2 linked regions of the Caenorhabditis elegans genome follow. The protein of the gene in region 1 purifies or fractionates together with the protein of each later gene. This does not show direct contact. Each region holds a gene or a part of one and is shown on either strand. Other genes may lie near its edges.

Region 1 (6,309 bases):
CTCATCTCCATTTTTTGAAATGAAAATCTAATAATTTAACCAACATTATGAAACCCTGCAAAGGCAAAATTGTTGTTTTCAGAATGAAGAAAAGGCCAATAATAAAAAAAATGTTGCTAAAGAAGTTCAACTAGAAACGAAAAATCAGAATCGAGATGATCAACGTCGTGAAACACTGGAAAACGAAAATCAAAAACTGCAAACGCAGGTAATTGTTTTTTTTTTCAATTTAATATTTTTGATACTATACTTGTGAGTATAATTTTGAAAAATTTAGGACAACGAGGAATATCGAGTTATTCCGAGGAAAAATAGAAATGGGATTTCCGACAGAAAACTAAAGAAAAAACCACCAACTATATCGATAAAATTGATTTAATATTTTTTAAAAATTTATTTGTTTGTTTCGGAGTTCGTTCAACTAATTAGTTCAATTTTCTGAAATTGATTGTACACAATTTTATAAATTTGAAAGTTGTTGAAAAGTTTGAATTTTTATTTCAAAATTGTTTGAATTCAGTGAAATGTTATAATCAAAACAATTAATTTGTCAATGTCAATGTAATTTGACAAATGTCAATGTCGGACATCAATAGGTATATTTCAATATTACTAAATAATAGCCAAAATGATGAATTCTAGCATCTTTTACAGGAAAAATTAGTTATTTAATTAACAGCCAACAATTCTTGTGTATTTTCGCTGAACTTCTAAAAATTACAAAACAATTAAAACCAAATTTAAAATAATGTATTTATTTGAATATCTGGAAAAATTCACTTTGAACAGCTTGAACTACATCTTCAAATCGAACTCATGTGCCAATAATCAAAAAACTTGGTAAGCTCCTCAAATGTTAAATAACTTCAAAAATTGTTCTTATCAATTGACTTTTTTTTCTTTTTGAACATTTTTTTGAATGTGGGAAACGATTATTTATCGATTCTTCCATGCAACTGTCTCTTTTTATAAATCATTGCACTTTTTCCCTCTTTCGAGGCCCTTGCTAATACTAAAACGTCCACTAACTTTTCATTGTTGGCACCCAGTCTATGCTGGAAAAATTCACTTTGAACAGCTTGAACTACATAACATTTTTTTTTTTTGAAGATGTAGCATTTGTAAATCATTTTTTATCCCGAATCCTCTGTTTTAAAATCCCCACACTTTGCGAATGGTCGTCCCTCAGCACATTTGCAACAGCCATACATATTTCGCAACCCTCTTCTCAAAAATTGTTACTACCACGTCGACATATATTTTGAGAGATTATTTTATAAATATATACTTTCTGATATTTCTGAAGACATCTTCAAACATTTTCAAAACTAAATATTTACATATGTTACTTTATGTTCGCGTGTATTCCAAAACAATGTTGTCATTTTACCTACAGAAATTGCAGACATTTGTTCTTAAAGGTGGACTACTCCAGTGGCGAAACGACTAAAAACCATTCCTATGGGACTGAAATGATCAAATATCATAATGAAACGTTAAGAAAAAGTTATTTCTAGTCAAAATAGCGGTGAAATCTCAGTGTTCAATTATTTCTTTAGGAAGTCGTCGATAAATTTTTTTGTCTTTCTTTTTCCTCAAAAATCTAATTTATTAAAATAAATTTTCATTTTCAGGTAACAATTGGATAATGTGGAAATTACTTCAGGATCTTTTAGAAACAATTTTTCCACCATCAGAACCCACAAGGTAAGCTTGAATAGTTTTTGTTAAAACCCAATTTTTATTTTTTAGAGAAGTACAATCCAGCTATAACAATTCATATTATAGAAGAGATTACGAAGAAGAAGAAGACGACGTTCAACAATATCATACATCGCACATAGCATCTATAAAATCTTCACAAACAACGTCATATAGATCATCGGTTGTTCAAGTATGTAATCACAAATTCAATTTTTTTGATGCATTTTTAAAAAAATTAGTCTAGCACACCTACAACCGAAAATTAGTTTTTTTGTCAAAGTTGTTCGAAACGACCAAAAATTAGGTTTATTCTTATCGAATTTTCATTTTGATTTTAAAAAAGTGTTTTCTAATATACTATTATATTTTGTACAAATTCAGGAAATTTTCAGAACAGTTCAGTCTACAGCCGAACTTTCTCGGAAAAGGAACAGAATGCGTTCAGCAAGTTTTATGTTCAGCCTCCAGAAACAAATTCGAGACAGAAAAAGAAGACAGAAATCGAATCTGAAGTGGAAAAGGAATTGAAAAGTTATAAGCATTCTGATGCCATCAATTTTGCTGCAAGAACGTTCAGCTGGGGACCAAATTTCAATTCTCCAAAACCCCGTCAAGTATTCAGGGACATCTCAACATACAGTTACGAGAGAGGAATTCGTGCTTATTTTCGTGTCTTATCCGCAGAGGATAATAAATATATTCTGATTGCCTGTCACGCCAATTTGCATGGATTACATCGCGGAGATCTTCGATTTGTAGAAGTCAACGATCGGACAATTACGAAAGGTTCCGAGAACTACAGTGTAATTGGAATGTTGTTTCCTGGAGATGTGGTCGCTGTTACAGAACTTTCCAAGAAATCGAACGCTCCTTCAATTGCTCCAACTATTAAAAACGTCAGTCCGCACGATCCATGTATTTGGGAGGTGAACAAAATGGTTGTTCTGCAAAGAAAAAGCATTATCAGAGTTAACTTCGCTATGTTGAATAATGGAGCAGCAATAGTGGAAGGTCATACGGAAGCTATGGATGTGATTGAAATTGACAGAAAGAAGCTGAAAACGGATATGATGTACTATGGCACAGCTTTCATCCCGGAGAAATCTAAAGTTAAGTTTTCCGAAGGCTTTCATCGACAACACTGGGAAGATCTGATGGCTTTAACTTCCAAGTTACCATCATATTCGAATTCTCTTGGTACAATCTATACTCATTCGCTATGTGAAAGACAAACGAACATGTTCAAAATTGGAGTGGATGCATTCAACTCATCAATCTATTCGTTAAATACCGAAGCGTCTGTATTAGTTGCTCAGAAGTGTGTCATTATGGGTTCCTCAGCTGCTCAAACGGTTTCAAATGGAAGATTTGATGGAAGAAATTTTCAAATGACAAACATCCACCGCAAAAGTCAAAATTTTCGATTTTCCATTGATAATCCTTCAAAACAACCAACTGAAGGACGTTGGAATCCCAATCAGAAAATAGAAATTAATGGACAAGGAGAAAGTTTGAAAACTTCTATTGAAACAGTCGTTCTTGGAAATAATAGGAAATCACTTGAAATTACTGCAACGATTCCCAAAAACAACAACAAACTTCTCAACTTTCAAACTGGCACTTGGATTGTAAGTCAATCACAATTCCTAGAAACTCCTAGGTTGGACTGTGAATTTCTTCAAAAAATGAGCCCGTCGTCAAATGGTAGACGTATTGTAACTGCACTTTATGGTGGATCTCCAATCAATTCAACGGGAAACATCAATTGGAATAAACAATTTGAATTCCCAAGTAAAATACCAATTGGGCTCAATCAATACCAAAATCAATATGTATCCATGATTCTCTCTGGTGTTCCTTTGATTCTCGGAAACTCCCCATTTGGTTGTGGAAAGTCGATGACAATTGTCACAGCTGCAGTTGAGCTTCAAAAAAAGTATATGCGTTCTGAATCGTTCAACAAACAACAGTTGTTGGTAACTCAAAGTAATAATGCAGGAGTAAATTTAATTGAATTTGCATTGAAACTACACAAATGCGACCATATTCGTTTTCTTCGATATGTTAGCGAGTCCAATTGGAATTCTCTTCCGGATTCTTCAAAGACTGAACTTGACATGCCCATTCTGATGGAGGACGAATTTTTTGAGTGGGCCACAAACACAGAAATTCAGAAAGAAAACGGTGAAAATCTAACAAGGGAGATGAAGAAGGCTATCGTCGAACAATCAACTCAAAAATACCATTGCAAAGGAATACTTGTTGGAGAAGCAAAACGAATTTATGAAAACATTCTTAAAAATCAACGAGAACATAAGCCTTCCCAAGCTATCTTGAAAGAAGCATTCTTCGCTCTTTATGCACCTGATATTATCGTTTCAACTGCGGATTCTATCCACAATTTATTGGAAAATAATGTTCTTCGAGATGTATCAAATATTCAATTCGACGAAGCAAGCCAAGTTCCAGAACATACCTTGATTAGCCTACTTCATAAATTTCCTAATGCAAGTTTTGGCCTTGTTGGAGACATCAATCAGTTACCAGCTTACTGTGATGATGATTTGCAAGGTCTTCTCAAAGATTATGGAATTGGTAAAACAATGGCAAGAGCTTCTCGTGATAAAATGTTTCCACAATCTATCCTTCGACTTGTTTATCGATGTCATCCAACTACCACAAAAATTCTGAGTGATCTATTTTACAATGGTCAGTTGATTTCTGGAGTAGAAAAGAATCAGAGAGACGAATTCATGAGAATGCGCCCTGATATTTGGCCAAATTCATCTTTCCCAATTCTTGTTCTCAATCACGAGAAAGACGGATATCGTATGGGCACTTCGGTGGCAAATAATTCTGAAAAAGATCAAGTTGTGAGAATTGTTAGTTTATTAACTAAGAAAGTCAAAGGATATGGTCTCTCAGAATCTGATATTGGTATTATTTCATTCTATAAAGCCCAAACATCTTTACTCGCGGATGCATTAAAGAAAACTGATGTAAAATGTGGAACAATTGATGCATTTCAAGGAACTGAACGAGAAGTGATGATTGTTTGCTGCACTAATAAGAATCCATCCCTTTTTATGCAAGAAGGAACTCGTGTCAACGTGGCAATGTCTAGAGCTCGTCAAGCGACTATTATCATTGGAAATATTGCAAAACTGAAGAAAGCAAAACATTGGGATACAATTGCTCAGAGTGCACAGATCAACAAATGCTCAATGGAAGTAAGTAATTTTAATAATACATATAATACTATTGTGTTTCTTGAAACTTTATTCAAAAAAAGTTTTCTGAAGAATGAGTATCCAGAATAGGAGAATATTTTATATAACTATAACCAAAATACGTAGTTGACGTCTCCAGAATAGAAAGAATTAGTTTAAAAAAAATTTCTCTTAAAATTCTAAAATTTGATGATTGCAAAAATGTATTTTTAAGGTTTCAACATTTGGTGGCAGTGAACAAAAACAACCACAAATGGTTCAGGTATGTTCGAATGTGAGATATTCAAATAATTTTTTAATTTTCAGATTAAATGTACAGCAAAAAAATCGAATAAAATTCAAAAAAATCAAAATGAAGGAAAACATATCTCAATTTCTCAGGTTTGTTTTTTTTTTAACATTTCCTTCTATAACTATAAATATTTTAGACTGTAAAAACCAAAGAGGACACCGAACAAAGTTCAAAACCTCAACAAAGAAGAAGAAGACGGAATAGGAACAATATTGGGCAAAATTCCACAAATGGCCGAAAAGTAGAGTTGAGATAAAATATTACTTTTTTTAAATTATTTTCTTCAGAATTCGGCTACAAGTTCAACTATAGTCCAATGAAACAGAAATTAACGAGCAGAATGTTTAATAACAAACAAACCAGTATTTTATAATTTGACAATAATTTCCATTTTACAAATTCCGAGTCATCATATTTTGTGGATCTTGAAAAAACGAAACCGGTCTTTTGATTTGAAATTACTCTGCTTTATTTTTATTTTGTCAGAGTATGTGGCACCTTACCATTTTTAATTTTCCATTGTTTTTCTGGCATAAAGATAAAAATAATCAATAAAACTAACAGAGAAACATCTTCCCAAAAAACAATACACTGTTATAAATAATGGAAAACAAAATAAAAAGTTTCAGTTAGTACAATAACTCCTAAATTTGACACCTTGCACGTTGCAACAAATTACAATTTAATTTCAAAAATGTCGATATTTGAACACATTACTGTGTATTGTCTAGAGAAAAGTTCATTTTCAAAATCGTCATTTTCTGTCTATTTTTCTGTAAAAACTTCATGATGCTCCTTCGCAATTCATCACCAATAGAGGTATTTTCAACCTACAATTACAGTTAAAGTGTGTGTATAACTGATATGCATAATAAATATCTTTCCGGTTTTCTATTATTATGTTCAAGTGAAAAGTGAATTTGGTGTCTTTTGGAAACTACACCTATAAGTGGGTATAGAAGCAATAACAACGTAAAATGTAACAAGGGGAAAATATCAGCGGGATTTTTATGAGAAAGTACGACAAGTTTTGATTGGCAGGGGAGCGACTGAAGCAAAACGCGGAGTGTATACAAATCAGCG
Region 2 (7,959 bases), on another chromosome or scaffold:
CTTTTTGCCTTCCGAGCAACTAAAAAAAGTTTATTTGTGTAGTTTTTGACTCGCGAATTCAATTTTTCCAATCCCCATTCCCAACATAATAATTATTTGTTTCAGTATCCCAACTCCTCTGGAAATGACGTCACACTCGTCTTCTCAACTATATCAACAATATCGTGTGAAAGTCGAAGGAGATGTGACTCTAACCTGCCTCTAAGCCTGTGTCTCTGCTTCTCTTCTCTCTCTTTCTCTCGTTGATAATTACGTTGCTACGGGTTACTTTATTTACATGTTCGCTGTCAAGTCATATGATTGCATTTTTTGTTTTAGATAATATTATTATAATGCTTTAATAAATTCATCTCATTGTTTATTCATTAAATTTTTTTGAATTTCGTTAACTGACCGGTTGAAAGTCCGGAAATTAATTTATTATGATAATGAGTTTTTTTTTAAAGAAAACATGAGATAAATTGGTGATTTGCAAGAAAAAATCAATTCTTAATCAAAACCTTGCAAATTCTTCTCATTTTTGATTACTGGTAAAAACTAGAATTTCTCGTTTCCATCAGTTTATTCAATGATTCTAAAAAATTTACTGGAAAAACTGTATTCATGAGATAAAGTTGAGCGTTTTTTACAGAAAATGATCCAAAATCAAAAAAAGTCTATAAATTACAGTACCCCTTTAAAGGCGCACGCCACTTTTGTAAAACGTCTCCTGCAACGATTAATTGTTTTCGTAGAAAATGTGTGCGCCTTTAAGCAATTACGGTAGTTTTTCACAATTTTTGTATGTTTTTATTTTATTTTCTAATGAAAAAGTACCCATGTTTACCGATGAGGAGTGCGCGAATTTACTAAATAATAATTTATTAAATATAAATTCACTCAAATTTAAATTTTGATTTAAAAAAATTAAAATCTGAAGAAATTCCAGAATTTAGAAATTATTTTAAATAGTAAAATTCTATTTTTCGTTAAAAATAATCTTTTCTAGGCTATAATGCACTTTCCTTCTCTATCCTATCACCATCCTGTCTCTCATTTCTATACACTCTCTCACCCGGTTTCCCTTTTTCTCTCTGCGTCTCCGATTTCCCAACACTCTTGCTGGTTGGTGGCTGTATCACGCTTTGAAGCTTCGAATACTCTAATTTTCAGCATAAATTTCAAAATCAACATGAGAAACTTATCGATTTTTGTTTTGATCACAGTTTCAGCTTTAATTTTAACTATTTTCTCAATTTTTTCACCGACAAAAATAGTTTTGCATTAAAATTTAGTGTTTTTCATGATTCTCCCACCAATTTTCTAATTTTTTCACATTTTTAAAAAACATTCCAGTAGCTTTTCAAACTCGTGGACCCCCTTTGAAGAATTAAAGTTTATAGCTGGAAAGCTTGATTTTGGATCATTTTCGCGAGTAGAAAACATTCAAATCGCTATTTTATCGTTTATTTAAAGCATTTTAGGTGATTTTTGATTTATTCACTGGTGAAAACTTCCGGAAAACGAGAATTTGTAGTTTCTAATTTATAATTAAATGATAAAAATTGGTTTTTGCTTAAAATCCTGGAAAATTGATATAAATTTGCGACTTTAGCATTAAATAAAGAAAAAAACGAAAATCCTCTAAAACAGGATTTCAGTAGAAATCCTGCAATTTTTTCATAGGTATTTACAATTTTCTGCTATATTTATCGATTTTAGAACATTTCCGCTCATTCGTTTTGTATTTAACATTAAAAACGACAATTTGTCTACAACCTTGCCAAAAATTCAAAATCTTCTCCTCCGGGAGTATTTGAGCCACGTAAATCTACAGAATGTCGAATTAGAAGTATAAATTTCGGAATCCTGAACCTTTTTTTTGAAATATCGGCTTTAAATACTCGATTTCCTCTATTTTTAAATATAAAATTCCATTAATTTTCAGAATCCTCAAACCGAATGGAAGTTGAACATGAACAACCACCGGAACATGAAGCCGGTAGTGTAGATGCTTCAAATCGACCATCAACTTCTTCTGAAAATCCAAATCCAGAAGAACCGTGTCCACAACCACCTTCTGATCCAATAATCGATGATAATGATGATCATTGTCAGTTTTTGAAGTTTTTAATTGATAAAATCCATATTTTTCCAGTAATGTGTCGAGTATGTCGTGGAAATGAGGGAAGTCTCTATTATCCGTGCTTATGTACAGGAAGTATTAAATATGTACATCAAGAATGTCTAGTAGAGTGGCTCAAGTACAGGTAATGGTGATTTTCAATTAAAAATAGCTGAAAAAATGCCTAAATTTAGCCAAAATCTGAGATTTCACCAATTTACAGCGGCTGGAATTTGATTTTTATTCAATTTTCCAATTTTGTTTGCCAATCGGCAAGAAAACGGATAAAAACCACTCAAAAATAAGTAGAAATTTAAAATAATTAAATTCTGGTCGCTATGACACGAAAAAGGTGACAAAAGTTTTAGATTTTGGCAAGTTTTCGGGATTTTTCTTTCGAAATTGAAAAAAAAGCAACTTTCGGGTAGTTTCTTAGATTTTTAGAAGAAATTTGAAAATTTAAGATCTAAAAAATAATTTTAAAAAACCAAAAAAATTGCTTCTAAAATGTAAAATTGAAGATTTCAAGCCAACTAGTTTTTGTTAAATGTTTTTGGTTTTGAAATTCTGAAAAAGTCTGTTAATGAAATTCAGCCTTTTCTAGTCAGTTTGAATTTTTTAAAATAAATTTTGATAATTTTGCCTGAAAAATACGATATCTGGAATATTAACGGCCGATTCTCAAATTGTGTGCGCCTGTAAAGAGTGCTGTAGCTCCTGATTTCTTGTTTCTCTCTAAAAATCAAACAAAAATTTAAAAATGTTAATTTTTTCAGTAAAAAAGAAGTATGTGAACTGTGTAATCACAAATATTCATTCCAACCAATTTATCGACAAGATATGCCAAAAGCTCTTCCAATTCTTGAAATATTACGTGGAGTTTTGATATCAGGAGCAATAATGGTCAGAACATGGATTATATATACAATTGTAATGACTACATGGCTTGGAATTGTACCATTAACAGCCGCCCGTATCTATAATTGCATCTTCTATTTATCATTTCATGACATTGTCAATGCACCATTCCAATTGTTCAAAGCTGAACATTTTTTCAATGATATTCTGAAAGGAAGTCTACTACTTCTCGTTTTTGTGTGTACATTCATCTCGCTTGTCTGGCTCCGCGAGCAAATTATTATCGGTGGACCACAACACTTTTTGAATATTGAAGCGGAAGAGAATGAAGGAGAGGATGATGTTGTTAATGAGAATAATGAATCGTCGGATGAATCGGAAGATGATGAAGAAGATGAAGATGATGAGGAGGATGACGACGAGGATGATGAAGAAGAGGAAGAAGATAGTGAATCTGGATATGAAGAGGATCCTGTTCCAGAATTTCGTGAAGAAGGTGAAGCTTATGTGGCTCGGAGGAGAGTACCATTTGAAGAAAGAAGACGTGATATTCTTGAAGCTAGACATGGATTCCGGCCGCAGATGGTACTGTAGATATAGGAATTTTGCAAGACCGCGGCGCGGTTTTTTTTCCTGAAAATATATTGAAAAACGAAAAAACTTCATCTAGGTTGCCTGAAGACCGCTAACTTTGGCGAATTTGAATTGCCGCGCTTTTGCCTCGAAACTCCGCCCATTTTTCCGTGCCGCACTTTTGTTTCTACGAATTCTTCGTCTTTCCTGAAGTTTTCAAGTGAAAAATAAGTGTCTTGTCTACAGGGACATTATTAAATGCTTATTGCTAAATGTTTCACTTGAAAATTTCAGGAAACAAAAATTCTATTTCAGAATTTACCTGCCAGTAATTTCAATAATTAAATTTCGTGTTTCTTTTGTGCTTTCACGGATTTTCTGACTATTTTGGCTTTTTTATTATCAAATTGCTTTTTTTCCTAAAATATGTAAGCCACAAAAAGAGATTTTTTAGAAAAAAAAACATTAGAATAACCTTAAACTGAAAAAAGTTGATAGCTTTGTAAAATTAATTGTTTGGTAAACCGCGCCGCAACCTTGCAAAATTCACAGATTAATTCAAAAATTCACTAATTTTATTCATTATTTTAGCCAAATCTGGGTATATACGATGACATGAGAGATGATGAGAATGAAGTACTCGAAAATGATCATGTACTTCAAAATGTACAAGAAGATCGTATTCCACCACCAATGGAGCCGGAGCCAATAGTTCCACGAGCAGCTGCACGTGCAAATCGACGAATTCGTCGTCAACGAGAAAATGAAGAAGCAGCGGCGGCAGCAGCAGCAGCTCAAGAACAAGGTGGAGCTGGAGATCAAGAAGATAATTGGAGAGAATGGGATCGATTTGGTGATGAACTGACATGGCAGAGATTATTGGGACTTGATGGATCTTTGATTTTCTTGGAACATGTATTCTGGGTTATATCATTGAATACACTTTTTACTGCTACTTTTGGTAAATTTTAATTGGAGTAGCGAGTTTTAAGCGGAATTTTCCCTTTTTTTAACAGTTTTTTTATTTAAAATATCTATAAATTTAGAAAGCGGAGACTAAAAATGATTACCTAAGAAATAGTCAAAAAAAAAGTTTTTTTTGGATGGATTTTTGATATTTTTAATTTGTTTTTTGTTGAAAAAATAACTTTCAAAAAATTTACATTATTCCAAATAAACAAGAAACATTTTTATAAATTGCAATCTCAAAAAAATTTAAAATTTTGAATATTCTTATTTGATTATTGTTTTTATTCTGAAATTAACGGTGAAAAATTGTGAAAAACAAACAAATTAATTAATTAAAAATCAAGTTTTATTTATTTTACACGACTATTTTTGTTAAACGTGCGCCTTTAAAGAGTACTGTAGATAGAAAATTCTTATTTCTAGCGTTGAAAATTCCACAGTAGAAATTACAGTACTCTTTGAAGGCGCACATGTAACGAAAATTGTCTGGTCGATACCGTATACCGGTACCGTATTTTTTGCGTCTAGGTAATAATAATAATTGCAAGTTTTTCAAAAAAGCAAATTAAATACATTTAAAAAGATAATTTATCAATTTTTAAAGAAAAAATTGAAAAATCGAAAAAGGAAATTTTGGAAAAAATCTGAAATTTCCCCAGCTTCAGCAGCTTCAGCTTCAGGCAGCTTTTTTGATTCTTTTAGGATAATTTCTTAAATTTTCCTGCTCAAAAGTTCCAAATTTTCCGCTTAAAAATCGCTAAGAACCGAACAAAATTTATTCAAACTGAATAACTTTTCAGCGTACTTCCCATTTCGCATTGGAAACTGGTTCCTAAGTGTCATCGGACTTCATGGAAAAATTTCATATTTCCCATCAATCGTAGCGATGCTTCTTGGATACATTCAAATAGCCATCATAACCTACGTCATTCACCAAATAATGCTCCAATTCAAAATGAAAATGATGTATCGATTCCTTGGAATAATGTTCCTTATCATTAAAGTCTTCTTGCTGGTATTCTTGGAAATTGGATTTTTCCCTGTAATGTGTGGATGTTGGATGGATGTTTGTACACTTCCATTATTCAATATAACATTATCACAAAGAATTGCAACATTTGCCACAGCTCCATTCATGTCAATATTCCTTCATTGGATGGTTGGAATGGTTTATGTATTTTATTCAGCGTCATTTGTAATACTTCTACGAGAAATTCTGCGTCCTGGAGTACTATGGTTTATGAGAAATCTAAATGATCCCGACTTTAATCCAATTCAAGAAATGATTGATCTACCGTTCACGCGGCATTTCCGAAGACTTGTTGTATCTACAACTCTGTTCTTTTCAACGATTCTTCTCATCTTCTACATTCCTCTCAACATAATCTCATCACTTATTCCATCACTTCTACCCTACAATGTTTCAATGAGCGCAGAGACTCCACTATCAGAAATCTCATTGGAACTACTGATACTTCAAGTAGTGATGCCTGCAATCTTAGAACATGCAAATGGTCGTGGTTTTATCAAGTATGGAGTCAGATTTTGGTGTAAAGTAGTTGGAGCTGCGTTGGATTTGGATCAGTATTTGTTGTCGGATAACAATAACAATAATCAGAACAATAATAATAATAACAATGATCCATTGAGAGCAGGAAATAATCAAGCTGGTGGAGGTCTTGCAGCTGAGCATCAAGCTCTTCTCCTGCTCCGCGAGCCCCGAGCCTACGAGCCATACAATCGACCATCACTATTCGGAGTTCGTGTATCGATTCTTCTTGTTCTAATGTCTTTGACAACAACTCTATCAAGTGTTGTTGTATTCATTGTACCTGCTTCAATTGGACGTTTCATTATTCTAATGGTTTCGGGACAAACGAATGTTCATGAGATGTACACTGTTTCTCTGGGTCTCTATGTTTGTTGGACAATCGGGAAGTTTGGAGCAGTTGTGACGAAGTTTGTGAGAGGAGGACCACACTTGTTCAAGAGAGCTGTTGTTCATTATTCTTACTTGGTACGGTAAATTATTTAATGTCGATTTACGGAGTACCTCGTGTACTCCTCGTGGAGAAGGTGTTGATTGTTTTTTTTACCAAAAAAGCTTGATTTTGAACAGATGTAGCTAATTTTTCTTGAATTTGACAGTCGAATTAGAGATTGGAGGCAATACCGAATCCGCAATTTTTCCGCCAAAAACACGGTACCCGGTCTCGACGATTTTTGTAATTTCGTATGTGACAAAAATTATCGTTTTGAGACCGATTACCATATTTTTAGCCCAAAAATTTACTGTTCTAAATTTCAGAAAAAAAGTGGTTCAGACAAAAACTGTAAAATCTTCTCCTCGTGGAGTACACGAGCTGCGTGAATCGACACGGGCCCATTCAACACAAGGATGCCGGTTTTTGGAAAAAAATTTCAGAAAATTTCCAAATTTTCCATAATTTCTTAATTTACAAAAAAAACCCATCCATTCAAAATTTAAAATTGAAAATTAATAAAAAATTTTCAGGGAATGCGCCTGTTTCTTGTTGCAATTCCAATAATTATCGTCTTGCCACTTTTGATGGGTACTTATTTCCAATTGGTTTTCTTCACTCCAATGCGATTGGGATATCAACAGGTAACACTTTCAGACTGGATTTCTGAAAATTCTGAGAAAAAATTATTAAAAAATTAGCCTAAAATCATAAGTTTTCAAGTCTTTTTGTCTTTTTAAAATGATTTTTACGCCGAAAAAACGTTTAAAATTCATATTTTAATCAATTTCGGCATTATAATCGTTGAAAGCAACGAAAAACAAGACAAAAATACGAAAAAAAGGGGTGGAGAGTTTTCAATTTCAAAAGAAGCATTTTTCTGCGTTTCCATAATAATTTTTTTAAAGTTTCAATTTTCAAAGTTTATGATTTTTCGCTGCAAAAAGTATATAAATATATTCTGGCCACAAAAAAAGAGTAGAAAATCTTCAAATCATTTCAAAAAATCATTTCAGACAGCACTAATGTTCCCATATCAAGACTGGGCAATGGGCGTTGTTCAAATCAAAATCTTCGGTGTAATTGCTGTAATGGGACCCGATTGGTGGCTGAAAACAGAACTCGATCTACTTGTGCAACGTGGAATTGAGAATTTTGCGGCGTTACACGTTTTCGTGAGGATTGTCGTCCCATGTATACTGTATCTATCGACTTTTATCGCTTTTCCGGTTGTTGTGATCAAGTTTTACGCGTTTATTTCAGGTAAAATGGATTCTAGAAGGATTTCAGAATTAATTGGATCCTTTAAATTGAAAAAATCTCAAAAATGGCCATGTGTTGATTTACGCAGCTCGTGTACTCCCCGAGGAGACCCCAAAAAACCTGGATTTCAATCATTTTCACTTTTTTATTGGTTTTTATCAGCTGAAAACCTTATTTAAAAAATTAAATTTAGATTTGTCAAACAAAAAT

What was found. Proteins that work in one complex are often made in the same cells at the same time.
Region 2: the proteins of hzl-1 (region 1) and marc-6 fractionate together in Caenorhabditis elegans (co-fractionation; one large-scale study listed by BioGRID). This does not show direct contact.

What each region holds. Positions count from the first base shown.
Region 1 is NC_003283.11:12,834,060-12,840,368, forward strand, and holds hzl-1 (DNA2/NAM7 helicase-like C-terminal domain-containing protein), read left to right. Parts: upstream 1-1,628; 5' UTR 1,629-1,648; coding exon 1,649-1,707; intron 1,708-1,752; coding exon 1,753-1,894; intron 1,895-2,096; coding exon 2,097-4,934; intron 4,935-5,148; coding exon 5,149-5,196; intron 5,197-5,240; coding exon 5,241-5,315; intron 5,316-5,362; coding exon 5,363-5,467; intron 5,468-5,513; coding exon 5,514-5,546; 3' UTR 5,547-5,795; downstream 5,796-6,309.
Region 2 is NC_003279.8:10,797,696-10,805,654, forward strand, and holds the start of marc-6 (RING-type E3 ubiquitin transferase), read left to right. Parts: upstream 1-1,927; 5' UTR 1,928-1,941; coding exon 1,942-2,092; intron 2,093-2,137; coding exon 2,138-2,249; intron 2,250-2,880; coding exon 2,881-3,547; intron 3,548-4,126; coding exon 4,127-4,496; intron 4,497-5,304; coding exon 5,305-6,521; intron 6,522-7,019; coding exon 7,020-7,130; intron 7,131-7,502; coding exon 7,503-7,749; intron 7,750-7,959. Other genes in the region: F55A3.2 (C2H2-type domain-containing protein), read left to right, coding at 106-205.